4 linked regions of the Stegostoma tigrinum genome follow. The protein of the gene in region 2 purifies or fractionates together with the protein of the main gene of each other region. This does not show direct contact. Links are inferred from orthologs where the notes say so. Each region holds a gene or a part of one and is shown on either strand. Other genes may lie near its edges.

Evidence for each region.
Region 1: the proteins of caM kinase-like vesicle-associated protein (region 2) and glypican-1-like purify together in Homo sapiens (affinity purification with mass spectrometry; 3 studies listed by BioGRID and IntAct, counting the BioPlex papers as one, with this or other methods). This does not show direct contact. The link is inferred for Stegostoma tigrinum from reciprocal best matches to the Homo sapiens genes CAMKV and GPC1.
Region 3: the proteins of caM kinase-like vesicle-associated protein (region 2) and zc3h18 purify together in Homo sapiens (affinity purification with mass spectrometry; 3 studies listed by BioGRID and IntAct, counting the BioPlex papers as one, with this or other methods). This does not show direct contact. The link is inferred for Stegostoma tigrinum from reciprocal best matches to the Homo sapiens genes CAMKV and ZC3H18.
Region 4: the proteins of caM kinase-like vesicle-associated protein (region 2) and nucleolar and coiled-body phosphoprotein 1-like purify together in Homo sapiens (affinity purification with mass spectrometry; 3 studies listed by BioGRID and IntAct, counting the BioPlex papers as one, with this or other methods). This does not show direct contact. The link is inferred for Stegostoma tigrinum from reciprocal best matches to the Homo sapiens genes CAMKV and NOLC1.

The regions. Positions count from the first base shown.
Region 1 is NC_081367.1:8,396,982-8,404,410, reverse strand, and holds the start of glypican-1-like, read left to right. Parts: upstream 1-4,418; 5' UTR 4,419-5,041; coding exon 5,042-5,192; intron 5,193-7,429. UniProt on the Homo sapiens protein: Cell surface proteoglycan that bears heparan sulfate. Binds, via the heparan sulfate side chains, alpha-4 (V) collagen and participates in Schwann cell myelination.
Region 2 is NC_081364.1:13,128,057-13,135,886, reverse strand, and holds the start of caM kinase-like vesicle-associated protein, read left to right. Parts: upstream 1-4,809; 5' UTR 4,810-5,233; intron 5,234-6,412; exon of another isoform or gene 6,413-6,508; intron 6,509-7,830. UniProt on the Homo sapiens protein: Does not appear to have detectable kinase activity.
Region 3 is NC_081369.1:66,842,994-66,849,932, forward strand, and holds the start of zc3h18 (zinc finger CCCH domain-containing protein 18), read right to left. Parts: upstream 3,003-6,939; 5' UTR 2,857-3,002; intron 2,010-2,856; exon of another isoform or gene 1,876-2,009; intron 1-1,875.
Region 4 is NC_081390.1:19,023,921-19,031,116, reverse strand, and holds the start of nucleolar and coiled-body phosphoprotein 1-like, read left to right. Parts: upstream 1-4,186; 5' UTR 4,187-4,206; coding exon 4,207-4,314; intron 4,315-7,196. UniProt on the Homo sapiens protein: Nucleolar protein that acts as a regulator of RNA polymerase I by connecting RNA polymerase I with enzymes responsible for ribosomal processing and modification.

The sequences.
Region 1 (7,429 bases), on a different chromosome or scaffold from region 2:
TTGTTATCTCAGACTCCAGCATTGGCAGTTCCTACAATGGCAGAGATAGGAGCCACTGGCTTTTCGCCAGATTTGAACTAAATTGAACTCCTTCTTCTGGGAGTCTAATACCTTTGCTTTCGATGACATTGTTCTAGTAGCTTTCAGAAGGTGGATTATGCGGGGATTCTGCTGCTTGTCCACGGCACACTAATTTTTGTTTCTGTCAGGAGTCTCTGTGACTTTTCACCATCTTAGTGCAACTTCTGGCCTTTGGTTTGCTGGTGGAATAACCATTGTAATGGTAGAACTGCCCACTCAACGTGACAAAGAAACTAAGAATTAAGTGGGCACACACAGTTGACTTGTAATAACTACATACACCACAAAGCACAACACTGAAGAGCTGCTGACTTACTGTCATCCAATTTTATTTGTTAAAATCAGGATCTACCCCAAGGTCACCTCGTTAAGTGTTTTCTCCCCAGTGAGATCAGCTATCTCAGTAATGGTTGACCATGGTACCTTGGATTTGGGAGCTTATGAAGTTTATGAAGAATGATTGGGCAGACTTGTTCTCTATTCACTGGAATCAGGAAGAATATGAGGTTATCTTATTGAAACATTAGGGCCTAAGATGACATATGAGGCTTCAAGGTTATGGGCTATGTACTGGAAAATGGAATTAGAATAGTTAGATAGTTGTTTGTGACCAGTTCTTTTTTTCGATGGGAAAAGAGCATTCTTCCGTGCTGTAGACCTCTATGATTCTATGATATGGTGGATGCCAAAAGATGTTTCTGCTTTTACAAAGATTTTGAACCTTGCTTGGAAGTCTGGATCCGTCAATTAAGATTAAAATGCAGAGGATTTAGGCAGAAGTAGATCAACGTTTAACTCACAAAGCAGACAAAGGGTATTGAGAATATGCAGGAAAATGGAGCTAAGTGTGAAATCAGATCAGCCATGTTCTTGTTGATTGGTGTACTCTTGTTCCTAATGTATCATTTTCAGTGCCATCAACATAGGCTTCAGTCATAGAGGCATCACTTTTCCCCTTTTACTTTGGGCCACTTACAACTGCAATTCCATCTGGTTTCAGGTCTTCCTCCTCTGCTTCTTTCAGGTAGGCCCAACTCCATCACATTTCCTCTTTCTCTCCACAACAGATGGCCATACTCTTGTAATGACTTTTCAGCTGGCTTCTTTGATGGTCTCACAATCTGATACCCGGATGTGCTGATTCTCGATCTTGTCCTTTCTTGTCACTTAGAGTTGTAGAGGCACACAGCATGGAAATAGACCCTTCAGTCCACTTGTCCATGCTGACCAAGTTTCCCAAACTACACAAGTCCCATTTGTCTGCATTTGGCCTATATCACTCTAAATCTTTCCTATTGGTGTGCCTTTCCAAATATCTTTTAAATGTTGTAACTCCACCTGCACCTTTCACTTCTCGTGGCAGTTCATTCCACATACAAACCACCCTCTGTGTGAAAAAGTTGCCCCTTCACTTTATCTATGCCCCTCACAGTTTTATAAACATCAAAAGGTCACTTCTCAAACTCCTACACTCCAGCGACGCTCCAGTCCAGTGTCAGGCATTTGCTTATAGCTCAAACCCTCCGGCCCCAGTAACATCTTTGTAAATCTTTTCTACACACTCTCCAATTTAATAACCCACTGCTCACATTCATCTCAGTACTTGCATCTCATGAGTGTCCAGTCATGGTTTCTCTCCTGCAGATATTGTCCAAATTTCATCCATGTCCCCATATCCTTTGATCCCTCTATCTTCAGAACCATATCTGACTTCTTTTTGAAAACATTCAATGTTTTGGCCTAACCTGTTTTCTGTGCCAGAGAATTCCAAAGGCCCCCAACTTTCTGGGTGAAGAAATTTCTCCTTGTCTTAATCCTAAATGACCTTAAAATGTGACTCCTGATTCTGGACTCCTCAGTTGTTGCAAACATCCTGTATCTACTCTGTCTAGTCCTGTTGGAATTCAATAGGTTTCTATGAGATTTATGAGTCACTAGGAGTGGTAAGACCTGCTGGAGAATGATGGCTTTTCTGCAGATGGCTTATTTTCAGAAGATTTATCTTCAGATTGACGCTTTTTCTAAATGTGGGCCTGGGAAGAAAACCATCTCTTGAAGTATACATTGATAAAATTGGCTCTCGATGTAACCGTAGCCCTCATACACAGAATTTGTGGGCAAATTATTTTGATGAATCCTAATCTAAACATTCTCCAACCAGATCAGCTATGATCTTAACAAATGATGGAGCAGGCCCTGTCTGCTTCTAATTTGTTCATTTGTATAAAATAGTGAAGGAAATGAAAATGTTAATTTGTCATGTTACATCAAATAAAATTTAAAGAACAGGGCAAATTGAAACCTATATTCAGTAAATTTAAAATGTTATGAGGAAGTACTTCATCATACAATGAGTAATCAATGCTTGATTCAAATTCACTTTCTGATCAAGTAAAAATGTAGATGCATGCACAGTCACATTAAAAATACGTTTGGCAAGCATATGAACAGGAAATGCTTGGATGGGTATGGGTTGAATGCATGCAAGTGGGCTAGTTTAGTTTGGGAGACTTGGTCAGCATGCACGAGTTGAACTGAAGGGCCTGTTTCTGTGCTGAATGACTATGTTACAAGGCTAGTCTCATGACTGTCTTTTAGACTGTTCATTTTCAGTGATATATGTTTTGTATCACTGCACTTCAAACACAGCTAGGAACAAAAGGCATGTTGTGCTTTTCTGACAATAGTGTCTACGTGGGTGGATCAGGATCGATTGTCAGTGATAGCAAACAATTCATGATATGGAAGTGTAAACATTCAGCCTTCTAAATAACCCAACACATACATACATAAACACTACTGGTAAAGGGAAACAAGAAAATTGATTTCTCTGCAGAGATTCACTTTGGGAAAAGAAAACTTTTGTCCAATAGCTGTTAGTTCTTGAAGGTAAAAATGATGAGGTGTGGAAAGTTCAGATGACATTCATTCAGATATTCTGGCATGTTAACAAGAGTCTATTCATCTACAGTCGTCCCTGGGATGTTTGCAAATGTTTCAGGAAATATCAAGACAAACTCCTCAGATGGTTCTCATGAGATCAGGTGAATCTTGAGTTCCAGTACCACAATGGATGCACTTTTTTTTGTTTTTCAGAAACAGGAGAGCTGATCTGGGAAGCTTCTTTCCTTCAGCAAGCTAAAGGACCAATACCGAATCCGAAACATTGAAAATGCAGAAACGAATTCACTGGTGATTAAAATAAACCCAGACAGGTGTCCTCCACCATACAAGTCCAGCAATTTGTTGAAACCAGGAGGTTTCCACGAAATGCCTGACTTTAAAAACATGTTCCAATGCCTAAAGAGAACTTTTAATGAAAAACTCAGTCCAGGTATTCGCAGATGATGAAATTGATCCATTTTTTTCCGCAATACTTAAAGATTCCCATCCTTAAAAACATTAACTGTGAAGCACTATTTGGAGCTCTTTCTGGCAAACATGACGGACAACTTACATCGCAATTTCTGAAAAGTGAGGCAGAGGCGGTAACCCAATGGTTTACAATGCAACTGTTTTACTGTCTAACTGTAATGGTTAATTACTTTCAACCTCTTTAAGGAGTGGAGATTGTAAAATTCTTTCTATTTGAACCGTGTTTTAAAATTCATATCCCTAAAGCAGATCTTTTGTTCAGAATGGCAAACTCAGATCTCCGAAACGTCCTGTTCATTCCTCCCACCTAAAGGCAGGCGTGTCTTTTATACTTGATTGTTTTGCCTTCACAGACAGAGGAGTTGATGATAGGTATTGTTTTGACCTGCAGGAGTGGCAATGTGGAAGCAGTACACACAAAGACCAGACCTTAGTAGTCCTGTTCCAGCTCAGGGGCGATAGGTTAGAGGTTGGGAACCCAATACCACGAAACCCTCCTTTATCAATCCGACTTGAAATCTTTTCCGGGGCCTGGTTATCTCCGTAACACAATTGGCAAAAAGTAAGCAGTAGACTCAGTCAAAAGGCTATTTTAGTGGCTCTCCCACTTCCCCGCACATCACTGTGGGAATAAGGAATTCTTTCTCTTGAAAATTGCAATGCATTTACAGACCAGGTGAACAGTGCGTTTGAATTAGGATCACTTGAGTCCATTCCCCGTTGTAAATTTGAGGAGGTGTGTGGCTGACAGGGTTAAATGAATGGAAGATTCATAAAGGCGGACAGACACTGACACACACAGGGACAGCAGTGCACACTTGCTCACTGGCACTCTGATGGGAGGATAAGAAGACATTCCTGCGGCTCACCGACAATGAAGAGAAAAAAGGGAGGTGATTGACAAAGCCAGGGGCCGTCTTCATTGGTCCCAGACCGCGTCTGTCGTAACATCCTGCTAGAGGTTTTGGGGGTGGAGTTGGAAAACTCAGTAAGGCATCGTCTGCACAGAGAGAGACAGAGGTAGGAGGTGGGCACTCTGTCTCTGTCTGTGCCAGGTCGGACAGATTCTTCACATACACATACACACACACACCTTCTCCAACTCTCGAGACTCTTCATCATACATCCCGAAACTACTACAACCGGTAACAAACTCATTGGGGGAGAGAAGGAAGGGCAGAATTGGAATTAAGAAGAAGACTCCCAGGATTGTGTTCATGTATTTTAGAAGTAGCATTTGTTAATTGTATTCCTTTGTGTGGTCTGTGGGCTGTGTTTTTTTTTAACTGAGTCATTAATGAACCCGTTTGCATCGGCAACTACAGAAGATAAATTGAAATTCGCGTTTCTTTGCTGAAGATTGTAAGTCACAAGCCAGAGAGAGAGAGAGGTGAACAAAAAAAAGCAAGAGTCGGTTGGAATTCCTTTCCTCCTGCAATTGACTTGGGGAAACTTTTGTTTGGATTACGTTGATCCCAGTTTCTTTTGAAAACTCGATTTTGGATTTTTTTGTGTGTCTCCTGTGCAAACAAAAAAAAACACACACACACTCAGTTCTTGATTTGGTTGCACCGTCCTTGCGAAGATGATGTGGATTTCGCTGTGCCTGGCTTTACTGGGACTCCTTCCCTCCCCTGTTGTGGGAGACCAGAGACCCAAGACCTGTTTGGACATGAGAACGCTGTACAACTCCAAAGGGTTCTCGGTGACCGCGGTGCCTTCAGCTGAGATCTCGGGTAAGAGGGGAGAGGGGTTGGGGGAGAGCTGGTAAAGGGCTCTCTCTTGCCTGGGGGATTTGTATATTTTGGAAGCTACAACTAAAAGACCTTCAGAGAGGAAAAAAAGGACACTAAAATATAGAAACTAGGATGGAAATTGCATTGAGATTGTTTCCTAGCTGACGAGACAAGAAATGTATTGTGAGAACACACGTAAGGTCAATGCATGACTTATTTAAGGTTATGATCATGTGTGTTTCAGTCTCCGTGATGTTTAAAACAATGCGGGTTTTTTTTGAAAGGAGGGTATTTGGCGTGCGTTTTTTGGATGAGGGCACTGGGAAATCGCTGAGGGTCGACTGGTGAAAGAAACAGAGGATATTGGAAGCGAGCAGGAGCCAGAGCTCTTTGTTGGGAATGTGTAATAACATTACCCAATCCCCTAGAGAGAGAAAAATCTAAATGGACTGGGTCTGCTCTGTCCAGTGTGGGAACAGAGCGCTTTTAGGGGCGTGAGCTGGACCCTGGGGGCGACATCCGAAGCGTACAGTGAATCCCCAAATCCCACACTTTGAAAAGTCAAACAATGGCCTTATTTTTAGCAGCAAGGAATTCCCCTGTCTTCGCATGTATATGTGCATGTGTGTGAGCATTCTTTGCCAGAGAGCCTTTTGTTTGAGAATGCCTTGCTCCTTTTGCTGGTTTGTTGAATATGCCAGCTGAGAGTTGGCACGGTGTGGCCATCCTCATGCTGCGTGTTGTGTGCGGGGCGATGAACGAGCGAGAGATTTCCCTGCGGCCTCCAGCGGGAGCTGATGGCAGGGCTCTGTCTGTTTTTGCTGGGGGCTGTTCTTGTCAATGCTGCTGCTGTTGGGGCAGACCTACCTCGGTTCCCCCTTGTCCCCCAGCCCCGGGCCTTCTAAGCTGATGAGACTCAAGGACAATAGCAGTGACTGCAGAAAGATAACTGCCGTGTTGTTTGAAGGGCATGTAACTGTTGAGTAGTTTCCTGGCTACTATTTATTGGCACTGGAGGAGGATACACTTCAATATGGATTGCTCGTTTTTGAGGGGAAATGGGAAGATTTGAAGAAAAGCAGCAGGTTGTTTTATTCACCCCAGATTAAATAAAACAGAGGACTGGTGCATTCCCTTCCAACAAATTCTTGCTATTGCTGTGTAGTTCAACAGAGAGCACTTCTCACCCAGTGATTCCCTGGAAAATTTGTTTGTTGGTGTCGCAGTTGCCTATTTTGTCGCCTTGTCCAACGAGATGGGACGTTGGGTATGCCGTTCAGCGACAGGGGCATCGCAGCTCCCCCTGAGTGCAGGCGTTGCTGGACCAGAGCAGCCCTGGCACAACTGAGCTCCCTACCCAGCCCCCGCTTCCGTAATGCAGCGAGCGGCGGTGACCTCCTGTCGTGTTTCCTCCCCCCGATCGGTAAATTGCTGCTGTTACCCCTGCACTGTTTAAGAAAGATCGCCAATGGTTAATGCCCGTCAGTTAACCCTATACTGGCCGCTTCCTGGCTTGCAAGTGCACCCTTGTACACTTTGTACCTACCCACTGAACGGCTGGCAACAGCTTTAGCCTCCGCTGCTTGTAAAAGTTCCTTAGGCATGAGCGACCATCTAGGGAATTGAAGGTCTTCAGAACAATAGTTCATTGGCTATCGGCACTTTGAGAATTCCTGAGAGGGTAAATAGGATTGTATCACTAAGTCTCCCCTGTACTCTTATGCACTTGTTATTCTCTGATTGTCGGTCCCCTATTATACACCTTTTGTTTTCATGATAACCCGTTGTAACAAAGGATCATCTCCCATTCCTAACATTCTGCAGTCTTACTGGTTCACCTTGCACTATATAAATGCAAGGCACTGTTGAATAGGCAGAAATTGGTTTGGTTTTTCCTGGGCTCATTGTGAATTCTTGGGAGTTTATGATAATTCCGTTTTCCTAATCAGACTCCCTGACGATCAAGAGATAGTAGGAACTGGTAATGCTGGAGAATCTGAGATAACAAGGTGTAGAGCTGGATGGACACAACAGGCCAAGCAGCATCAGGGGAGCAGGAAGGCTGACATTTCAGCCCTAGACTCTTCTTCAGAAAAGGGGGAGGGGGAGGGGAGGGGGTTTCTGAAATAAAAAGGGAGAGGGGGGGAGGCGGATTGAAGATGGATAGAGGAGAAGATAGGTGGAGAGGAGACAGATAGGTCAAAGAGGCAGGGATGGAGCCAGGAAAGGTGAGTATT
Region 2 (7,830 bases):
GCTGCGTTCATCCAGCTTCACAATTTGTTATCTCTGATTCTCCAGCATCTGCAGTTCCCATTATCTCCGAGCTGGAAAAGGATGAGGGGAAGATGGATCATTGTTGTTTCTGAAAAATATGGTCAGCTACATTTTAATTTGCGAATGGTGTAACTAAGGAAGATGTGCTAACAAGAATAGAAATCACTGTAAACACAGATTCTTTGTTGCAGGCAAGTGGCTCTGGTTTAGTTTAAGATTATGTTTGGTATGGACTGGTTGGGCTGAAGGGTCTGTCTCCATGCTGTATGACTATGTTTGGAAAATCTTTAATTGGATACTCAAGGATATGAGGATATGATTTAATCTCTAGTCATAACACCACAAACACTCTTAATGAAAAGAGTTCTCAATTGGTGGCTTGTTGTTAAAGACAAGTAGCTAAATGTAAACAGTGACACTCATGAAAAGTAGAAAGGTCTCAGCACACCTAAAAACTTGCATTTTGTGACTGTTAATGGTACATTACACCAACAATAATTTGTGTAACTCATTTAAAAATAAAAGCACCAGGAGAATTATAACAGGTCACAAAATGTTTAGTCAAAAAGGCAGATTTTCAGGAGTGACTCAAAGCAAGGAAGTGAGGCAATGCAATGGAAAGGTTTATCATTGGCCTGCTAAATTTGAGGGCTTGAGCAGCTGAAGGCCTGACCACCAGTGGTAGAATCATTAAAACCAAGGATGGCCAAGAGGCCAAGTTTGAAGCAGTACAGAGAACTTGAAGATCTATAAAACAGGATGATGACAGAGAGACAGGAAATTGAGTTTGCAATGCGGAATCAGGAACTCAAATCCCAGAAAAGTTCCACAATACAAGCGCAGATCCCATGTTTCCTTTCGATGTAATTAAAAGATGCTGCTGGAAGTGGAAAAACAGGGACAGTGAGGGAGCAGACGAAGGAACTGATCAGTGTATGTAGGTGCTAGTCAGCCCCAGAGAGGTGTTTCCAATTGCGGGGAGGTATATTTGAACCCCACAATAAAACCAACAGCTTTGCCCTGAAATATGTTAGGCCTTGTTGGGAAAAGAAAATGATATTTTGAGAACAGACAGGCCCCTTAATAAGTTTGTTTATACATATGTAAGTATAAGCTCCACTTAGAATAGAACATGAAACAATTCAGTCAGGAACTTTTACTGCAATTTTCCTACCATGTTGTAGCCTGGAGCAATGGATAGCGATTATAAGAGGTTCCAAAGTTCCTTCTATGGCTCACAAGGACACTATTCCACTCTAACCACCTCCTATAGGCACACGTTGGCAAGATTTGCGGGTAGATCACTGACTTGTTTTCCCCAGGTTACTAAGTGGAACTCGAGTAAGGAGCTTCCACCTCAGAGATTGGGTGACCAGTCCCTTGGACGAAAAGATCTCGCAGGAACATAAACAAAAACAAATTTGCTGCAAAAGCTCAGCAGGTCTGGCAGCATCTGTAGAGGAGGAAAAGGAGTTAACGTTTCGGGTCAGGTGACCCTTCCTCAGAACTGATGGTGGCTGGGAAAATGCCAGTTTATATGCAGAAAATGGGGAGGTGAGTGGGGTAGGGAGTAAACGATAGGATAGAGCCCAAAGAGAGAGAAAGAGAGTTGGACAGACAAAGGAGTTGCTAACGATCAGGCTGAGAGGGTGGATAGTTGTTATTGGGGACTGTTAGTGATAAACAACAGGGGGCGTGTAGTGGCAGGTTGTGTGGTAACAAGGACTGGTGTGTGGGGTAGGGGACTGGGACGTGGGAGAGTTTAGGCCCTAAAACTATTGAATTCAATATTGAGTCCTGAGGGCTGTAGGGTCCCCAAGCAGAAAATGAGGTGTTGTTCCTCCAGTTCCTCCAGCTTGCACTGGGCTTCACTGGAACACTGTAACAAGCCAGAGACAGAGATGTTGGCCAGGGAACAGGTTGGTGCATTGAAGTGGCAGGCAACAGGTAGTTGAGGGTCTTTTTTGGAGCAGAACATAGATGTTCTGCGAAGCAGTCACCAGGTCTACGCTTCGTTTCCCCAATGTCGAGGAGACCACATTGTGAGCAGCGAATGCAGTAGACTAACTTCTGAGAATTGCAGGCGAAGTGTTGCTTCACCTGGGAGGTATGTTTGGGCCCTTGGATAATGAAGGAACTTAAGGAGTGTTAATCAGCAGTGCATGTGTGACCTGGCACCAAAATTAAAACCTGTGAGGATCCTTTGAGAACTTCTGCAATTTTCATTTTGAAAACCAACCCACCACTGGGTTCTGGCCCAGGGGATCTCAGCAAATACAGAAACTGAGATGAGAAACACTCCCTGCTGGAACGATTGAGAAATCATTTCATACCATGCCTGATTCACCACAACCTGTGCAATTCCTGTTACACTGAGTATAATGAAGGCAATTCAACCATCGCTGGCAATTATCTTCATAAACTGTACAGGACAACCCTCTGAACTCGTGGTCAATCTTGGGAGATTGCAGGAGGGTACTGAATGGTGTAAAGTAGATCTGACACAGATAGGTATAAATCTTATGGAGTTAGGTGTACAATAAATAATCTCCCAGAGTTGGGTTTGCAATATCTCAAACCGGTGCTGGGTGTGCAATGAACCCTCTCCCAGTGCTGGGTGTGTAATGAACCCTCCCCCCAGTGCTGGGTGTGAAATGTATCCCCCCCCAGTGCTGGGTGTGTAATGTACTCTCCCCCCCCCAGTGCTGGGTGTGTAACGTACCCTCGCCCCAGAGCTGGTTCTGTAATATAGAACATAGAACATTACAGCACAGTACAGGCCCTTCGGCCCTCGATGTTGTGCTGACCTGTCATACCAATCTCAAGCCCATCTAACCTACACTATTCCATGTACGTCCATATGCTTATCCAATGAAGACTTAAATGTACCTAAAGTTGGCGAATCTACAACCATTGCAGGCAAAGCGTTCCATTCCCTTACTACTCTCTGAGTAAAGAAACTACCTCTGACATCTGTCCTATATCTTTCACCCCTCAACTTAAAGCTATGCCCCCTCGTGCTCGCTGTCACCATGCTAGGAAAAAGGCTCTCCCTATCCACCCTATCTAACCCTCTGATTATTTTATATGTTTCAATTAAGTCACCTCTCAACCTTCTTCTCTCTAATGAAAACAGCCTCAAGTCCCTCAGCCTTTCCTCGTAAGACCTTCCCTCCATACCTGGCAACATCCTAGTAAATCTCCCCTGCACCCTTTCCAAAGCTTCCACATTCTTCTTATAATGCGGTGACAAGAACTGTACACAATACTCCAAGTGCGGCTGCACCAGAGTTTTGTACAGCTTCACCATAACCTCTTGGTTCCGGAACTCAATCCCTCTATTAATAAAAGCTAAAACACTGTATGCCTTCTTAACAGCCCTGTCAACCTGGGTGGCAACTTTCAAGGATCTGTGTACATGGACACCGAGATCTCTCTGCTCATCTACACTACTAAGAATCTTACCATTAGCCCAGTACTTTGCCTTCCGGTTACTCCTACCAAAGTGCATCACCTCACACTTGTAATATACCCTCCCCCCAGAGCTGGGTGTGTAATGTACCCTCCCCCCCAGTGCTGGGTGTGTAATGTACCCTCCCCCCTGTGCTGGGTGTGTAATGTACACTCCCCCCAGAGCTGGGTGTGTAATGCACACTCCCCCCTCCCTGTGCTGGATGTGTAATGTATCCTCCCCCAAGAGCTGGGTGTGTAATGTACACTCCCACAGTGCTGGGTGTGTAATGCACCCTCCCACCCTGTGCTGGGTGTGTAATGTATCCTCACCCCCAGAGCTGGGTGTGCAATGTACACTACCCCCAGTGCTGCGTGTGTAATATACCCTCGCCCCAGAGCTGGGTGTGTAATGTACACTCCCCCCAGTGCTGGGTGTATAATGTACCCTCCCCCCAGAGCTGGGTCTGTAATATACCCTCCCCCCAGGGCTGGGTGTGTAATATACCCTCCCCCCAGAGCTGGGTGTGTAATGTACACTCCCCCCAGTGCTGGGTGTATAATGTACCCTCCCCCCAGAGCTGGGTCTGTAACATACCCTCCCCCCAGGGCTGGGTCTCTAATATACCCTCCCCCCAGGGCTGGGTGTGCAATGTACCCTCCCTCCCTGTGCTGGGTGTGTAATGTACACTCCCTCCCTGTGCTGGGTGTGTAATGTACACTCCCTCCCTGTGCTGGGTGTGCAATGCACCCTCCCTCCCTGTGCTGGGTGTGTAATGTACACTCCCTCCCTGTGCTGGGTGTGTAATGTACCCTCCCTCCCTGTGCTGGGTGTGTAATGTACACTCCCCCCAGGGCTGAGTGTGTAATGTACACTCCCTCCCTGTGCTGGGTGTGTAATGTACACTCCCTCCCTGTGCTGGGTGTGCAATGCACCCTCCCTCCCTGTGCTGGGTGTGTAATGTACACTCCCTCCCTGTGCTGGGTGTGTAATGTACACTCCCCCCAGGGCTGGGTGTGTAATGTACCCTCCCTCCCTGTGCTGGGTGTGTAATGTACCCTCCCTCCCTGTGCTGGGTGTGTAATGTACACTCCCCCCAGGGCTGGGTGTGTAATGTACCCTCCCTCCCTGTGCTGGGTGTGTAATGTACACTCCCTCCCTGTGCTGGGTGTGCAATGTACCCTCCCTCCCTGTGCTGGGTGTGTAATGTACCCTCCCTCCCTGTGCTGGGTGTGTAATGTACACTCCCCCCTGTGCTGGGTGTGTAATGTACACTCCCTCCCTGTGCTGGGTGTGTAATGTACCCTCCCTCCCTGTGCTGGGTGTGTAATGTACACTCCCTCCCTGTGCTGGGTGTGTAATGTACACTCCCCCTCTTCCGTTCCTGCCTAATCGCTTGAAGTCAGTGTGTATCCAGCGCTGCGCTGCTCCGCTTCTTTCCTGGTCTCTCTGACTAGTGTTGTTTGCCTGGCTCCCAGCTCGCTCTGCCTGAATCTCACTCTCTGACTGACTCAAACACCATCCAGCAACTGATCGGACAGCAGCACATGTGGCTCCCTGAAGAGACTGAAGCCCATGGTTCGCGGGGCAGTGGTCCATCTGGAGCATCGTACTTCTCCTCCAAGCAGAGCAGAGAACTCAGCGAGTGGGGCTCCAGTCCCTTTCATCGCCTCTTGTAAATAACACAGTCTTGGGACTCATTTAACCGGACAGGTGCCGCAGGAATTAGACCACACGTCCACCAAGTGAAAGCATAACAAAGTAAGTATTGTATTTGGCTGTACTGGCAGATTTGCAGGGGATGCCGGCTCGAAGCGTTGTCTGTAGAATCACAGGTTAAAGCGGCGATCTAAAATACCTTTTAACGTTGCCTCATTTTTTTGGCTACATTTTGGTTAAGTTTTTTTAAGTGCCTGGTCACCAATGCTAGGCTGTTGACGAAGTGTTCCAAATTTGGGCTGTATTCAGTTTGGAAGTATGTGTGCATCTGTGTGTGTGTGTGTGTGTGTGTGTATGTCTGTGTCTGTCTGTCTGTGTTATGTGTACGTATGTGTATCTGTCTGTGTCTGTCTGTCTGTGTGTATGTGTACCTGTGTGCGTGTGTGTGTGTGTGTATGTGTATCTGTCTGTGTCTGTCTGCCTGTGTGTATGTGTACCTGTGTGTGTGTGTATGTGTATCTGTCTGTGTCTGTCTGCCTGTGTGTATGTGTACCTGTGTGTGTGTGTATGTGTATCTGTCTGTGTCTGTCTGCCTGTGTGTATGTGTACCTGTGTGTGTGTGTGTGTGTGTGTGTGTCTGTGTGTGTGGAATTGCCAGCACCCTGGATAATCAAGCACTTGGAGTTTCTTATACACCGAAAACAAAGTTGGGACGCACAACAATGCCGGGTGCTGTCATTCTGTTTGGAAACATGTGTTAAGTGGAAAGATAATGCCGCTGGAAGAAAATTGTGACCTGGGTCTATAGCTTAAACTGTTGTTGCAGGGTGATTGTGGACTGATCCACATGGCACAGCAATTTAAACAAAAAATCCTTTTATTTTCAAAATATTCTCAGAGATGAATCTTGAAAAAAAGAACTTCCACTAGAAGCAATCCAGATTTTGCTTTTAGTCAGAGCTGTGTTGGGGTTTAAATCTGTTACATGTATGAAGGGGACTCGATTGTACAACAGCACCCTCGTCTGCATGAAGTGGTTACTAGCAGAGTTACAGTGGACAGCACTTTACTGGAGGTGCTATGGAAAATGCACATAGTTTGTCAGTTTTAGTGTTTTTGCACGTGTGTGTTTGTGTGAGGGGCTGGATTTTTGGACATATATACCCTGTAACATTTTCCACAACAAGAGTCAAGTTTGTGCTTTGTGCTATAAAGCTTTGACCGTCGCGCCTATTTAGTTTGGATAGGCAGCATGCATGAAAAAACAGAGCTTAATTCTTTACTATTACATAATACTGCGGAGATTTCGATGTGTCGGCGCCAGATTTCACATCTTCGCCCCCACTCCCCTCCAAAAATCTAGATACACTTCTGAAGGTACCTTTTTTTTTGTTACTTTCCCATCTTTGTAATTTGTCAACGTTCGAACGAGTTGTTGAAGCTGCACTTTATAACGCACTCTTGAGTTCGCAAATGCTCCGTTCTGGACACAATTATCCAGCTACGTAACTGAAGTACAGCCTTTTCAAGCAGATTGTCATCAGCGAGAGTGTGCTAGTGTGATCCCAGGTCCAAAGATACTTCATTCTCCCGGGATAATCATTCCAGTCCGCGTTACCCTCCACATTTAGCTTCCTTTCTTAAAAAAACACAAAACTCGTAAAAGATTTCTTCCTCCCTCATTCGTATCACGTTATGTATTCCAGTGTTTCCTATTCCCTTTCAATAACCCGCTGACTGGTTGATAATACAAATATAACTCAACTGAGCTCCTTATTCTTCATAGAAACATAGAAGATAGGACCAGGAGGAGGCCATTCGGCCCTTCCAGCCTGCTCCATCATTCATCACCACCATGGCTGATCGTCCGACTCAATAGCCTAATGCTTTCTCCTTTGATCCCATTCGCCCTAATGCTATATCCAGCCTAACGCTCCCACAGCGCAGGAAAATAATAGTAGTTCAGAGTATCCAGCTTTAAATTTGGAGGGACTGTTTTGATTTGGAGAATATTGCATTTGTAATTTGAGTCATTGAGTAAGAAAGGCTAAATATTTGCACATCTGACCTAAACTATTCCAGCGGCAAAGATCCTGATCAGTAAAATGTGTTTTAGTTTGGGTCTTAACAAAAATGAAGGATTTATCAACGTAACTGGGAGAAGATGTACTGAAGATGAGTCTGCCTATCTGCTGTCATTCTGGTTTGTCACTTCGGCTTGGAAGCTGACTTGAGAAGTCAAGTGGAGGAAATATGGTATAAAATGGGCAGGTTTGCTCTCAAATCCTCAGTACTGATTCTTCAGGGGCCCATGTTTGGGTACAAGTTCATAGGAAGCTTGAATTAAACATTTCTCTGGGCTTCCATGTGTCACTTCCACGGGTCCCGGACTCGAATTAATGACCAGCTACAGAATAAATCTCCTTCTGGTACTGTGACAATTTGCTGGAAGTCACAAATATTTTAATCCCAGTAGTGCTTGCGATTGCACTGCGCTGCCCTCTTCGTAAAAAGCTACACTGTAAATCCGGAGTTTGCAATATTATAATCGGATTGCCCGTGAACATCCCTTGCACCTTTATTTCGTTCTCAACCAGTGCAGAGGGCCACTGCTGAAAGATCGTTCAGTTTTTCTCAAGTTGACTCGTATAAATGTCTTTGTTTTATGTATCAAGGAAGCTCGCAAATGGTGGTGATGT
Region 3 (6,939 bases), on a different chromosome or scaffold from region 2:
TAGGCTTCCCCTTACTGTTTAAAGAAAACAGTCGATTTCAGCTGTAATTATATTTTATGACCCAGTCTCTATAGCATAAGAATTCCATATATTCATTAACCTTGGAGAAGTTCTTCCTACTTCTGCCCTAACTAGGCAACTCCTTACTCTGTGATTGTGCCTTTTGGTCCAAATCACTTGAATACAGAAAACAAAATTTTCACATCTACCTTACATGCCCAAGAACCTTATATGCAGTTACCTAGTTTATCTTTCTCTCTTTTCTAAAATAACTGAGGGACACTTGTAATTGTCCAGTCCAAAGGTACAATTCTCAAACTAAACTGAATCTGTGGCATTTCTAAGAATAAAACTGGAACAATACAAATTTCAATTGATCTCCATTCCCGTACCTTGTCCTCATCTTTTGTTTTGATCCATTTGTGGATCAATTTCAAAGGAAAATTTTTAACAAGAGTTATCTTCCTTCATGCATATCCAAATTACAGTACTTCTGACATCACATGTAGGACTGATAGTTACAACAATGCATTAGAAATACACCGAGTACCAGCATTTACACAAATTTGGACAGAAAATTCAAACATTTCAACTAGATTCAGCACCTGCAACAGTCCACAATACTCCAGTACTGTACTACCTTGAGACCATTTAGAAACACAAATACATTTTAAATCAAGAAAGGTCTCAGAGATACTAAGAACTGCCAATGCTGGAGTCAGAGATAACACAGTATGGAGCCGGAGCAGCACTGCAGGCCAGGCAGTATCAGAGGGGCAGGAAAGTTAACGTTTCGGGTTGGGCCCCTTCACAGGCTCCATACTGTGTTATCTCTTAATCAAGAACAGTGGGGCTTTGCTAAAAATAGGCAAAAGGTTTCAAAAATCAAGACATGTAATCAGCCGGGGTCCACCAGGAGGATGATAATACATCAGTTCCTCTACGTCCATTGTCCTACAAGTCCATTGTTTCCACTGTAACTCAAAAACACTATTCTCTAGGTAGTAGATACTATCTTAAATCAGGACACACAGTTCCTGAAGTATCTCAATAATTGCACAGGAGCTCTACAGAGGACAAATTTAAATACTGCTGGACAAGAGGAGTTATGGCATTCACTCAAGGCAGGGGGACAACTTTACAAATCTATAACGGCATGAGATCAACTCAGCTTTGGGACTAGAGATAGTTTTGCAGTCAGAACGAACAATAAGTCATGACTGCAGAGCCAACTGCTAGATTTAACAGATCCACATGAGTAAGCTCTACATCATAATATTGATTTGGGTGCAGGTTGTTTTGGGCAGGACAATTACATTATTGTTTCCCCAAATCCCTCGACTGCCTCCTCCCTCTCTCTCTCAAGGATGGAGGATGTTAATCATTCTATGGGTGCAGTTTATCCCCACCATCTTGCATAACTGCGCCTTTTCAATGCCTAGACAGTTGGTACTGACAAGTTTTCTGAATGTGTAGCATTATAGTTCGGCCAGGTTCTCTCTCTACTCAAGCACTAGCATTAGTTAGAGGACAGTTATCAAATTAGCCAATGCTGAGAATATTGGCTGATGTTTCCCATGTGTTAAGGTGTTTTAAAGGCCAACTGTCTCAAACTTGACCTAAACGAGAAAAGGTATTCAACCCAGACTGGAAATGTAACCTGGATCATCTTGGTTTATACAGAGCAATAGCACACCAAGCAGTACATTTACCCAGTGTGCAAATTGAGAGAGGCAGGTAATAAGGGAATGCCACTTAGATCCAAGACGAGATTTTTTTTTAAAACACAGAGTTCTGAACTTTTGGAATTCTATGCCCAGAGGTCAGCACAGGCCCAGTTTTAAATATGTTTAAGAGACTGATAGATTTGATTACCTGTAATATACAGGATTACGGAGATGGGGTGGGGAAAAAGGCATTCATGTGTTCGACCAGCCACGATTACACTGAATGGCAGGGCAGGCTTGACAGGCTGAATGACCAACTCCTGTTGCGATATAATCCTGAATCTACAAATAAGTCCAAAATGATGTTCATTTTTTTTGCGCAAGTACATGCCTGCACTTCAAAATTAAGCAATCTGTAGCATGCATAAGATTTATAGATGGTTCTGCAGAATTTCACACTTCAGGGTAAATGACTTTCGACAGGAAGGATCTTGTAACCTGTTGCTTTACTTGCTCACTTTCCTATAAGAGAGTCTTCAATCAACCGAGGAATCCTTGGGATCCTCGTAAATTTTCCCAAATTACCCGATCCGCGCAGGGTTACTGGAAACTGAAATCTGGCGATTTGATTCAGTTGAGAACCAATCTTTTAACTCGGGGTGGGGGAACGGCATCAACTGGGATGCACACCTCAGACTGCAACACACTGCAGATCAGAGACAAGGCCATTTACAGGGATCAGTTTGCACACAAGGCCAATTGGGGACATGTGACATGAGGTATCAGCACTGGCACGGGAGGACAGAGAGAAGGCAAAAGGGCCTGCTTGGTAAAGGCAGCCCTAAAGGGCCGCCCACACCAATCCCCCGCCTCAACAACCTCAGGCTCCAGATGCATCGTAGCCGGCTCCTCGCTCGCTGTTATTGGCGCAGAGCGGGATCCCGGGTGTGGGGGCCCTCTACTACCTCAGCAGCTCCGACAAAGCCAAGACAACAACGGGAACTGCAATTCCTGACCCAGCTTCCCGCCCATGAGGAGCCCGAGGCCTAAAGGCCGAGTGCGGGGCTACCGCCAGTAAGAGGCCGAGGCCTACGATTTGTGTGCGCGAGCGAGTGAGCGGGGGGGGGGGGTGGGAGTTAGAGTAATCGCCGCTTCCCCTACACCCACCCCCCCCCGCCCGAGGACTCACCTGCACTTTAGTAGGCGGTATGCCGCAATGGGGGCCAAGCCGAGCGGGGCCGGGCCGCGCTCTGAGCGAGGGAACGGCGAGAGCGCGAGGCCGGGCCCGAGGCTGCAGCGAGCGAGCGCGAGCCGGGCAGCTCCGCCATTAGCGCCCGCCCATTGGCCGGGAGGAGTCAGCTGACTGTACGTGCCCCCCCCCCCACGACCTCGGGACACGCCCCCTTCCTCAGCCCAGGGAAAGGAAGAACCGAATGGCCACACGCCCGCTTGGACCCGGAGCCCGTTAGGGACGAACACAACCGCAGGCGCTGGAATCCAGGTAGACAAACAGGGGGCTGGGAGAAAGGAGCGGTCAGTGTTTTGGGTTTTACCCCCGCCCCCCCCCGCGTCCAGTCCTGAAGACAGCGAATGGCCGAAACGTTCACTGCTCCTTGGCCTGCTGTGTTCTTGTCCGGCCCTCGCCCGCCCCCGGGGATAACGGGAACTGCAGATGCTGGAGAATCAGAGATAACAAAGTGTGGGGCTGGATGGCTGGCGTTTCGGGCCTAGACCCTTGGTCAGAAAAGCTTCTTGATGAAGGCTCTGGGCCTGAAACGTCAGCTTTTGTGTTCATCCAGCCCCTCGCCTTGTTATCTCACCGGTTCCCGAGGCCTGTCCGGCCGTCAGCGGGAAATATTCAAACAGGGACCGCCTTTGCAACCAGTTCATTGGGCACATTCAGTCAGCTGATCTGGGACTTGAGTGAATGTGAGGTTGTGGGTTTCGGGGATTGTTGCCGCTGTTCAATGTCCACGGACGGCGAGGTATCTGTACCAAGCCCTGTCGGGAGGGGAATCGCTATGCCATGCCCGTACTTCATACAACTGTACAGCTCCGGAACAGGCCGTTCGGCCCACGAGATTGTGAGGAACATGACACTAAATTAAACCAATGCGCTTGGTACAAATCCCCGCATTCCTACCAAATTCGTGTGTTTGTCTAAAAATCCCTTAAATGCCCTTTATCGTATCTGCCTCCACCACCACCCCCACCAGCGCGTTCCAGAGTCCTACCACTCCATGTGTATAAAAAAAACTTGCCCCTCACATCTGTTTTGAAAATTCCCCCGTCATCTTAAATGCATGCCCCCAATAATAAAAATTTCAACTCTGAGAAATAGATTCTGACCGTCGACACACTCTATGCATCTCATAATTTTATAGATTTCTATCAAGTCTTTCCTCAGCCTCCACTGCTGCAGTGAAAACAGCCCGAGTTTTTTTTAACCCTCTCTTTGTCAGGTGAACTTGGATGTCAGATGAATGAGTGGCGCTCTGAAAGCGTTAGGGTTAGGTTTTGTCGTGTGACTTCTGACCCTGTCCACCCCAGTGCAATGCCAGCACCTCCACATCGTGTCCCTAATTAGGCTATACTTTTCCAAATGCATATAAATCCTATCTGTAAGAAATCTCGAGTAAAAAGGTTCCCAAACAGTGTGAGACTCAATGGTCTATAGTTTCCTGAATGATCCCTATTTCTCTTGAACGAACATTAGCTACTTGCTAGTCCTCCAGGAGCCCTCCAGTGGCTAATGAGGAGACAAAGATCTTGGTCAAGGCCCCCAGAAATCTCCCCTGTTGCCTCTTTCAATTACCTGGGTATTTACCATCAAGCCCTGGGGACACATCCACCTTAATGCTCTTCAAGAAACTCAAACTGCTTCTTTCTTGTCCTCAAAATTCCCTGGTATATGAGCATGCTCCACACTAATCTCACTATTTTCCATTTCCTTCTCCTGGGTGAATACTGATCCTAAGTACTCATTTAGGATCTTGCCCACATTCTCTACCTCCAAGCACAAGTTCCCTCCTTTATCCTTGAGTGACCCTGCCTCCTCCCAAGTTATCCTCTTGTTTTTAATGTTTGTACAGAATGCCTTGAGATTCTCTTTAGCCCTACTTGCCAAGGTCATTTCATTGCCTCTTGCCGCTCTTCTCATTCTCTGTTTGATTTCCTTTCCTGCTTTCTTTGTATTCTTCATGGGCCCTGTCCTATTTTAGCTTCCTAATCCTTACATATGCTTCCTTTTTTCCTTTTAACTAAATTCTCAATCTCCCTTGTCATCCAATGGTCCCTTACCTTGCCATCCTTCTCCTTCCTCCTTACTGGAATGTGCTGATCTGTGATTGCCTGATAACAGGTCCTCCCAATTAACACTCCCTAACTCCTGCCTAATATTTTCCCTCCCCGAATTCAGTGCCTTCCCACAAGGTCCTGACTTATTCATAGCTACAAAAACAGAAATTACTGGTAAAGCTCAGCAGTTCTGGCAGCATCTGTGAGGATAAATCGTCAGAACTGTGGGAGGGTCACTTGACCCGAATGGGAACTCTGATTTCTTTCCACGGATGCTGCCAGACCTGCTGAGCTTTACCAGCAACTTCTGTTTTCCTTTCTGATTTGTATCATTTGCCATCCTTTCCATTTTTACTTATTCATATTTATCCTAAAACTTAAGGAGTTGTGATCACTGTTTCCAAAATGCTCTTCCACTGAAAGGCTGTCACCTGGCCAGACTCATTAGCCAAACAAGGTCAAGTATGACCCTTCCTCTAGTTAGGCTATGTACATACTGTTTCAGAGAACATAGAAAAGTACAGGCCCTTTGGCCCACGATGTTGTGCCGTGGAATAATCCTAATCCAAAAATAAAATAACCTAACCTACACTCCCCTCAATTCACTGCTGTCCATGTGCATGTCCAGCAGTCGCTTAAATGTTACTAATGACTCTGCTTCCACGACTTCCACTGGCAAAGTATTCCATGCACTCACAAACCCCTTTGGATGCACTTAACAATTCTGCCCAGTCGAAGTCTCTTGCTCTAAGGGAGGCTCAGTCATTATTAGGGAAGTTAAAGTCATCACTATGACAGCCGTGTTGTTGTATCTTTCCATAATTTTCCTGCATACTTGATCCTCAATGTCTTGGTGGCTGTTGTATTAATCCTATTGGAGTGATTGCACCCTTCTTATTTTTGAGCTCTACCTGTATTGCCTCAGTGGATGTGCCCTCCAGCATGTCCCCTCTGAGTGCAGATGTGACTTTCTCCCTGATTAGTGATGCAACTGCACCTCTTTCACCTTCCTTTTCATCTCATCTAAAACAACAAAACCTGAAAATTTGAGTAACCACTCCTGTCACTCGTTAAACTGAGTCTCTATTGGTGACAACATCATAGTCCCATGTAGTGATCCAAGCTTTAAGCGCCCCAGCCTTACCTGTAATACTCCGTGTGATGAAATAAACACACTTCAGCCCATTAGTACCATCGTGCCTGCCCTTTCTTTCTGATTCACAGGTCCTAACATCTATCTTCCCCTCAATTCCTCCACTTGCTGACCTGCCGCTCTGGTTCCAATGGATCAGATCCAAGCTCGAAGTCCTGCCATATCCTGTCTTGAATGGTGATAAGACAATTGCAGAATTCAGTGGAGGAGAAGGTTGTACTAATGTTCCCATCCTCAATGATGGAAGGGCCCAACACATTAGCACAAAGGATTAGGATGCAGCTACAATTGCCAAGTGGACAATCCATCTCTGCCTTCACCAGTGGTCACCCGCATCACCAATGTCCATCTTCAGCCAATTTGATTTACTCCATGTGATATCAAGAAATGGTTGGAGGAACTGGATGCTGCAAAGACTGTGGGCCCTGACAACATCCAAGCAATAGTACTGAAAACTTGTGCTCCAGAACGTGCCACTCCCCTAGTCAAGCTATTATTTGTATTCCAGTACAATTACAATACTAGCATCTACTCAACAATATGGAAAATTGCCTAGGTATGTCTGTACATAAGAAGCAGAACAAATCCAACCTGGCCAATTACCGGCCCATCAGTGTACTATCAATCATCAGTAAAGTGATGGAAGGTGTCACTAACAGTACTATCAAGCAACACCTGCTCAGTGATGAGTTCTGCCAGGGCCACTCAGCTCCTGCCCTCATTACAGCCTAGGTTCAAAAAGAGCTAAATTCCAGGGGTGAGGTGTAAATGACAGCCCTTTTCATCAAAACCACATTTAACCAATTATGACATCCAGGAGGT
Region 4 (7,196 bases), on a different chromosome or scaffold from region 2:
CATTGAAGTAGACACACTTCAATCCAACTTCTTGCTTGCCGGTGCCATCTTGCTTCCCTGAAACTTTATTTCGGACCACCCTACTCTCAACCTTTTCTATAGTCGAACTACAATTTTGGTGCCCATCTCCCTGCTGAATTAGTTTAAACCCACCCGAACAGCCTTAGCAAATTCCGCCCCCAGGATATCGGTACCCCTCTGGTTCAGGTGAAGACCATCTTGCTTGTAGAGGTCCTACCTACCCCAGAAAGAGCCCCAATTATCCAAGAATCCAAAACCCTCCCTCCTGCACCATCCCTGTAGCCACGTGTTCAACTCCTCTCTCTCCCTATTCCTCGCCTCACTATCACGTGGCACGGGCAACAAACCAGAGACAACAACTCTGTTCGTCCTAGCTCTCAGCTTCCATCCTAGCTCCCTGAATTTCTGCCTTAAATCCCCGTCTCTCTTCCTACCTATGTCGTTGGTGCCAATGTGAACCACGACTTGGGGCTGCTCCCCCTCCCCCTTAAGGATCCCAAAAACACGATCAGAGACATCACGGACCCTGGCACCTGGGAGGCAACACAACAACCGTGAGTCTCTCTCGTCCCCACAGAACCTCCTATCTGTCCCCCTAACTATGGAGTCCCCAATGACTAATGCTCTGCTCCTCTTCCCCCTTCCCTTCTGAGCAGCAGGGACAGACTCTGTGCCAGAGACCTGTGCCCCACTGCTTTCCCCGGTAAGTCATCCCCCCCAACAGTATCCAAAACAGTATACTTATTGTTGAGGGGAACGGCCACAGGGAATCCCTGCACTGCCTGCTGGTTCCCATTCCGTCCCCTGACCGTAACCCATCTGCCTTTTTCCTGTACTTGAGGAGTGACTACCTCCCTGTAACTCCTCTCAATAACCCCCTCTGCCTCCCGAATGATCTGAAGTTCATCCAGCTCCAGCTCCAGTTCCTTAACGCGGTTTTCAAGGAGCTGGAGTTGGGTGCACTTCCTGCAGAGGTAGTCAGCAGGGACACTAGTGGTGATCCTTACCTCCCACATTCTGCAGGAGGAACATTCAACTGCCTTGACCTCCGTTCCCATTATTCTAAATTCCCAAAGACTTAAAAAAAGAATAAAAAATAAACTTGTTACCTTACCAATCAAGCACACAGAACCTTTTTTTCGGTTAGAGGAGGAGGATGGGTGGAAGACACTACCCGAGTAGTGTTTCAGGTAACGCAACCACACAAATATATTACCTCACTTACTCACCAGTCCCATGTTGGCTCCTGCTCAGCGTCCCTCCACCTATTCACGAGGTAAGCTTTTTAACGATTCAAAAACAGTGACTCATCAGCTTCCCGACAGGCTCCTGCTCCAAGCTCCTGCTCGCGCTGCTGCTGCTGATAACATTTCCTGGGTTTCTGGATTGGTAGTCCAGTGACAACATCATAGAACATAGAACATTAGGGGTGGCACGGTGGTGCAGTGGTTAGCACTGCAGCCTCACAGCGCCAAGGACCCGGGTTCGATTCCCGCCTCAGGCGACTGTCTGTGTGGAGTTTGCACATTCTCCCCCTGTCTGTGTGGGTTTCCTCCGGGTGCTCCGGTTTCCTCCCACAGTCCAAAGATGTGCAGGCTAGGTGGATTGGCCATGCTAAATTGCCCATAGTGTTCAGGGTTATGGGGGGATGGGCCTGGATGGGATGCTTCAAATGGTGGTGTGTACTTGTTGGGCTGAAGGGCCTGTTTCCACGCTGTAGGGAATCTAATCTAATCTAATCTAATTACAGCACAGTACAGGCCCTTCGGCCCTCTATGTTGTGCCGACCTGTCGTACCGATCTCAAGCCCATCTAACCTACACTATTCCATGTACGTCCATATGCTTGTCCAATGACGACTTAAATGTACCTAAAGTTGGCGAATCTACTACCATTGCAGGCAAAGCGTTCCATTCCCTTACTACTCTCTGAGTAAAGAAACTACCTCTGACATCTGTCCTATATCATTCACCCCTCAATTTAAAGCTATGCCCCCTCATGCTCGCCGTCACCATCCTAGGAAAAAGGCTCTCCCTATCCACCTATCTAAACCTCTGATTATTTTATATGTTTCAATTAAGTCACCTCTCAACCTTCTTCTCCCTAATGAAAACAGCCTCAAGTCCCTCAGCCTTTCCTCGTAAGACCTTCCCTCCATACCAGGCAACATCCTAGTAAATCTCCTCTGCACCCTTTCCAAAGCTTCCACATCCTTCTTATAATGCGGTGACCAGAACTGTACACAATACTCCAAGTGGGGCTGCACCAGCGTTTTGTACAGCTTCACCATAACCTCTTGGTTCCGGAATTCGATCCCTCTATTAATAAAAGCTAAAACACTGTATGCCTTCTTAACAGCCCTGTCAATCTGGGTGGCAACTTTCAAGGATCTGTGTACATGGACACAGAGATCTCTCTGCTCATCTACACTGCTAAGAATCTTACCATTAGCCCTGTACTTTGTCTTCCAGTTACTCCTACCAAAGTGCATCACCTCACACTTGTCTGCATTAAACTCCATTTGCCACCTCTCAGCCCAGCTCTGCAGCTTATCTATGTCTCTCTGCAACCTACAGCATCCTTCGTCACTCTCCACAACTCCACCGACCTTAGTAATAAAATGTGAGGCTGGATGAACACAGCAGGCCAAGCAGCATCTCAGGAGCACAAAAGCTGACGTTTCGCGCCTAGACCCTTCATCAGAGAGGGGGATGGGGAGAAGGAGCTGGAATAAATAGGGAGAGAGGGGGAGGCGGACCGAAGATGGAGAGTAAAGAAGATCGGTGGAGAGAGTATAGGTGGGGAGGTAGGGAGGGGATAGGTCATCAACCGGTTTACTCTCATCTACCTGTTTGGTCACCTTCTCAAAGAACTCAATAAGGTTTGTGAGGCATGACCTTCCCTTCACAAAACCGTGCTGACTATCCCTAATCAATTTATTCTTTTCTAGATGATTATAAATTCTATCCCTTATAACCTTTTCCAACACTTTACCAACAACTGAGGTAAGGCTCACTGGTCTATAATTACCAGGGTCGTCTCTACTCCCCTTCTTGAACAGGGGAATCACATTTGCTATCCTCCAGTCGTCTGGCACTATTCCTGTAGACAATGACGAGTTAAAGATCAATGCCAACGGCTCGGCAATCTCCTCCCTGGCTTCCCAGAGGATCCGAGGATAAATCCCATCCGGCCCAAGGGACTTATCTATCTTCACCCTCTGTAGGATTTCTAATAACTCTTCCTTGTGAACCTCGATCCCACCTAGTCTAGTAGCCTGTATCTCTAAGCCATCAACATCCCCTTTATTGGTGGACAGGTCAGGACTGCATTGGTATTGTTGAATCTAGAGGTAAAGTGTGGGGAAATGTATGATGAGAGCTTCAGCAGAGTGGAAAGTGGTTCAAGTGAAGTCTGTCTGCACTAGCACACGCAGGTGGAGTCAAAATGATCCGTACGTGTGATGCAATGCAGATTACACCGTGAACATAAAAGCCTTACAATGCGAATAAAACAAAACACAAGAAATGTGAATGCTGAAGATATGAAACAAAAACAGAAACACATCTGGTCTGGCAGCATCTGTGGTCAGAAAGTATGTTGGATGCTCTGCCCACAGTGGTAGTGGAGTCAGATACTTTAGGGACTTTAAAGTGACTCTTGGAATAGGCACATGGAGGATAATAAAATGTAAGGTATGCAGGGTAGTTTGATCTTAGTAGGATAGTAGGTTGGCACTACATCGTGGGCCGTAGGGCCTGTACAATGCTGCAGTGTTCTATGTTCTAACAAATTGAGTCCAGTGACCCTCCTTCAGAACTCCTGCAAGACAGAAAGAAATTGCTGCTCAGGAAAAGTAGCAACATCTGTGCAGAGAGAAAACACAGTTGACGTTGCAAGTCCACTAACCCTTCTTCAGAACGCCCTACAATGCAAAAATCAGAAACTGCTGGAGAAACTCAGAACATCTTGCACAGAAAGCAGAGTTAACGTTTCGAGTCTAAATGACTTTAAAACGCCGTCAGCACCTGGGACGGATCCGCGCGTGCGCAGAAAACGCCGGCCGGCTCTGGGTCACGTGTTGCACAGACTCCGCGCAGCCGCAGTGGGCATCAGTGAGGTGTAGGCGATTGGTACTGAGACCGGGGGGGCGGGGGGAGGGGAGGACGTGTTATTGTGCGCAACATGGACGCGCGTGTGGTGCCCAGCGACCTGTACCCGCAGATTTACGGTTTCCTGCTGCAGAATAAGTTCGACAAGGCTGCCAAGCAGTTCCTGAAGCAGTCAAACGTGGTATGTTGCCACCTCTGCTCTGCTAAGATCGACTGTTCGTTAGTTCTCTTTCGACGTGGTGGCCGCACTTCTGTGGCCTTGCTCACGGGCTTCGATAACGGCACTCCGGAGAAGGCCGGGCATGCGCGGAGGGAGAGGAACGTTGCCCGGGAGCACGCGGGGCCGGAATGGAACGTTCCCCGGGAGCACCTGGGCAACGTTCCATTCCGGCCCCCAAGTGTCCCTGAATGTACCTCAGGGGAGATACATGCAGCATCTTACAGCGTTGCTTTCAAACCGCATGGACCCGGCACACGTGGCCCATAGTTTCTCCTGCCACGGATGGTTGTGCATGTTTTTGTCTCTCTTTTTAAATCGACCTGCTCAGACATGTTATGACCCTCGTCTCTGTGGTAGGTGGGATTCGAGGTGTTTTGGGGTTTGGGACGGGCGGGGGCAAGGGGTGGGTGTTGAACGTGAGGAAGGACTACCCCGCACCGGTCTGTAACATGCTGCCTGCTGAAGGAGGGTCATCGCGGTGACACACACAGATTTCCTAACTTATATCCGATTGGTGCTTGAGGGGAGTTGGAACTGAGTGGGGGAAATGGAGCAGAACAGGTTGGGGGACAAAACTGGGACCTATCTGATGAAAGGTCTGGGCCTGAAATGTCAGCTTTTGTGCTCCTGAGATGCTGCTTGGCCTGCTGTGTTCATCCAGCTCCACGCTTTGTTATCTGGGACCGGAAGGCTGGGTTTGGGGCATGGGGTCAAGTAGGAGTATAAGGGTCAGAGGGGCAGCAAGATGAGTTGGAGGCAAAGTGGGCAAACAGGGCCATTTGGGAGGAAGGGGCAAATGGGATGTGGTGACAAGAGCCAGGGTATGGTGAAAGGTATGGAAGTCAGCAGAGTAGAAGGAAAATGGGATTGTGGGGCAAGAAATGGGTGGAATGAGAGAATGGGTGGCACAGCGGTTAGTACTTCTGTCTCCCAGTGCCAGGGACTCTGGTTTGAATCTACCTTCAGGTGACTGACTGTGTAGGGTCTGCATGTGAATGAATTAACTTTATTGTCCTAAGTACACAATGAGGGTAGTGAAAAGTTTTTATCCATTGCTGCTTGCGGCGCCATCTTCGGCACAGGGGTACATAGTTACAAGATCTTAGAAGGCATGGAAATAAAATGCCCAGTGTTGCAGAAATTAAAGTTCAGAACAATGGTCTTCCAACCCAGACCACAGTGGCACCTAGTGCCCAGTCCGCACCAGGCCCAGGCTCCAGACTTCAGACTTCACCTTCAGGATTGTGAGCATGGGAGTTCGCTTCAGACTGCCACACTGGGAGGCCGCTCCGCCTGGCCAGGAGTCGTTGGAGGCCAAGAGAGGAGGAGGAGGAGGAGAAGAAGAGGGAAAAAACACCAAAAGGAGGGAGGAAAAGTGAAGAAAAGAAAAAGAAGTGCAGTTGAGGTCCGGCTGGAGTGTCATACTCTGCCGCCATCTTGGAATTTCTGTCTGACTTGGTTTCCTCCCACAATCCAAAAATGTGCAGATTAGGTGGATTGGCCATGCTAAATTGCCCATAATGCTCCGGAATGTGCAGGCTAGGTGGATTAGCCATGGGAAATGCATGGTTACAGGGATAGGGTTGGGGGGTGGGTCTGAATGGGATGCTTGTCAGAGAGCCGGTGTGAGCTCGATGGGCTGAATGGCCTGCTTCCATACTATCGGGATTCTCTGAAAGGGGCTGATGGGCACAAAGCCATGGAGGAGTGCACATGGGACCAGGGACGGATATGGGGTGGAACAGGAATGGTGTAGGACCAGTGAGAATGGAACAGGGGAGGGTCTGAGAATGGTACTGATTAGATTATTGTCGAAGGGCTGAATGGCTTCTTGGTATGTTGTCACAGTTCTACGTAATAATCTACCTGTCTCTGCACTGAGGGTGGAAGGCTCAGAAGGAATGTGTTCTAAGTACAGAGGTGCCATACTAAGCAGGGAAAGCTGACAGACAGGCAAATGTGTAAAAACTTCTTTTAAAAAAGACACTGGTGAACACATTGCTGCTATGACTTACACCTTATGAATGCCCTGTGATTGGACTTAACGGAAATAGATTGTTTCAGATCAATTTGTTACTTAGAGATTTGCTTTTCTTTTCTTGATCTCCTCCCCATAAACTCTGAACTGACTAGCAGGATAATTGTTAAGATAATAAAATGTGAGGCTGGATGAACACAGCAGGCCAAGCAGCATCTCAGGAGCACAAAAGCTGACGTTTCGGGCCTAGACCCTATACTTTTAAGGATAATTGTTAACGCAGTTACAGGGACAGGTGAAGTAGCTCCTTCCAGTCTTGGTCAAGGAATTGAATCCATCGTGAGCAATAATGGTTAAGGGCTGGAAGTAAATATGTTGAGCTGAGATTAACTCACAACCTAATTATTGGGCCATTTTGCAAGCTCTGTTTGCCAGCCGATGAGGAACTGTCCAGCTCCATGTAGCATTTTCCTCTTGGTCTGTAGTCTTTTAGATTACAGCACTTCAGGCGCATATCCAAGTACTCCATAAATATTATGACAGTTTCTGTCTCTAGATCCCCACTACCTTTCGAGTGAAACAATTTCCCATCAACTCCTCTCTTAAACCTACCTTTTGTCCTAAGTCTGTGCCCAGGGTTTAGAACCCTGCCTCCTCCCGTTAACTCAAAGCCTTTCTACCTGGAACCCTCATAATTTTATAAACCCCCTTCATGGACTGTTCTGTTTCAAAGAAAATGACCCTACCCTATCCACTCTTTCCCCTATATTGAAATCCTCCAGTCAAGAGAGCATTCTCATAAATCACTTCTGAATTCAAGGCATCTGTGGATTGATCTGCAAATTGTTCCACATCGCGTGAATTA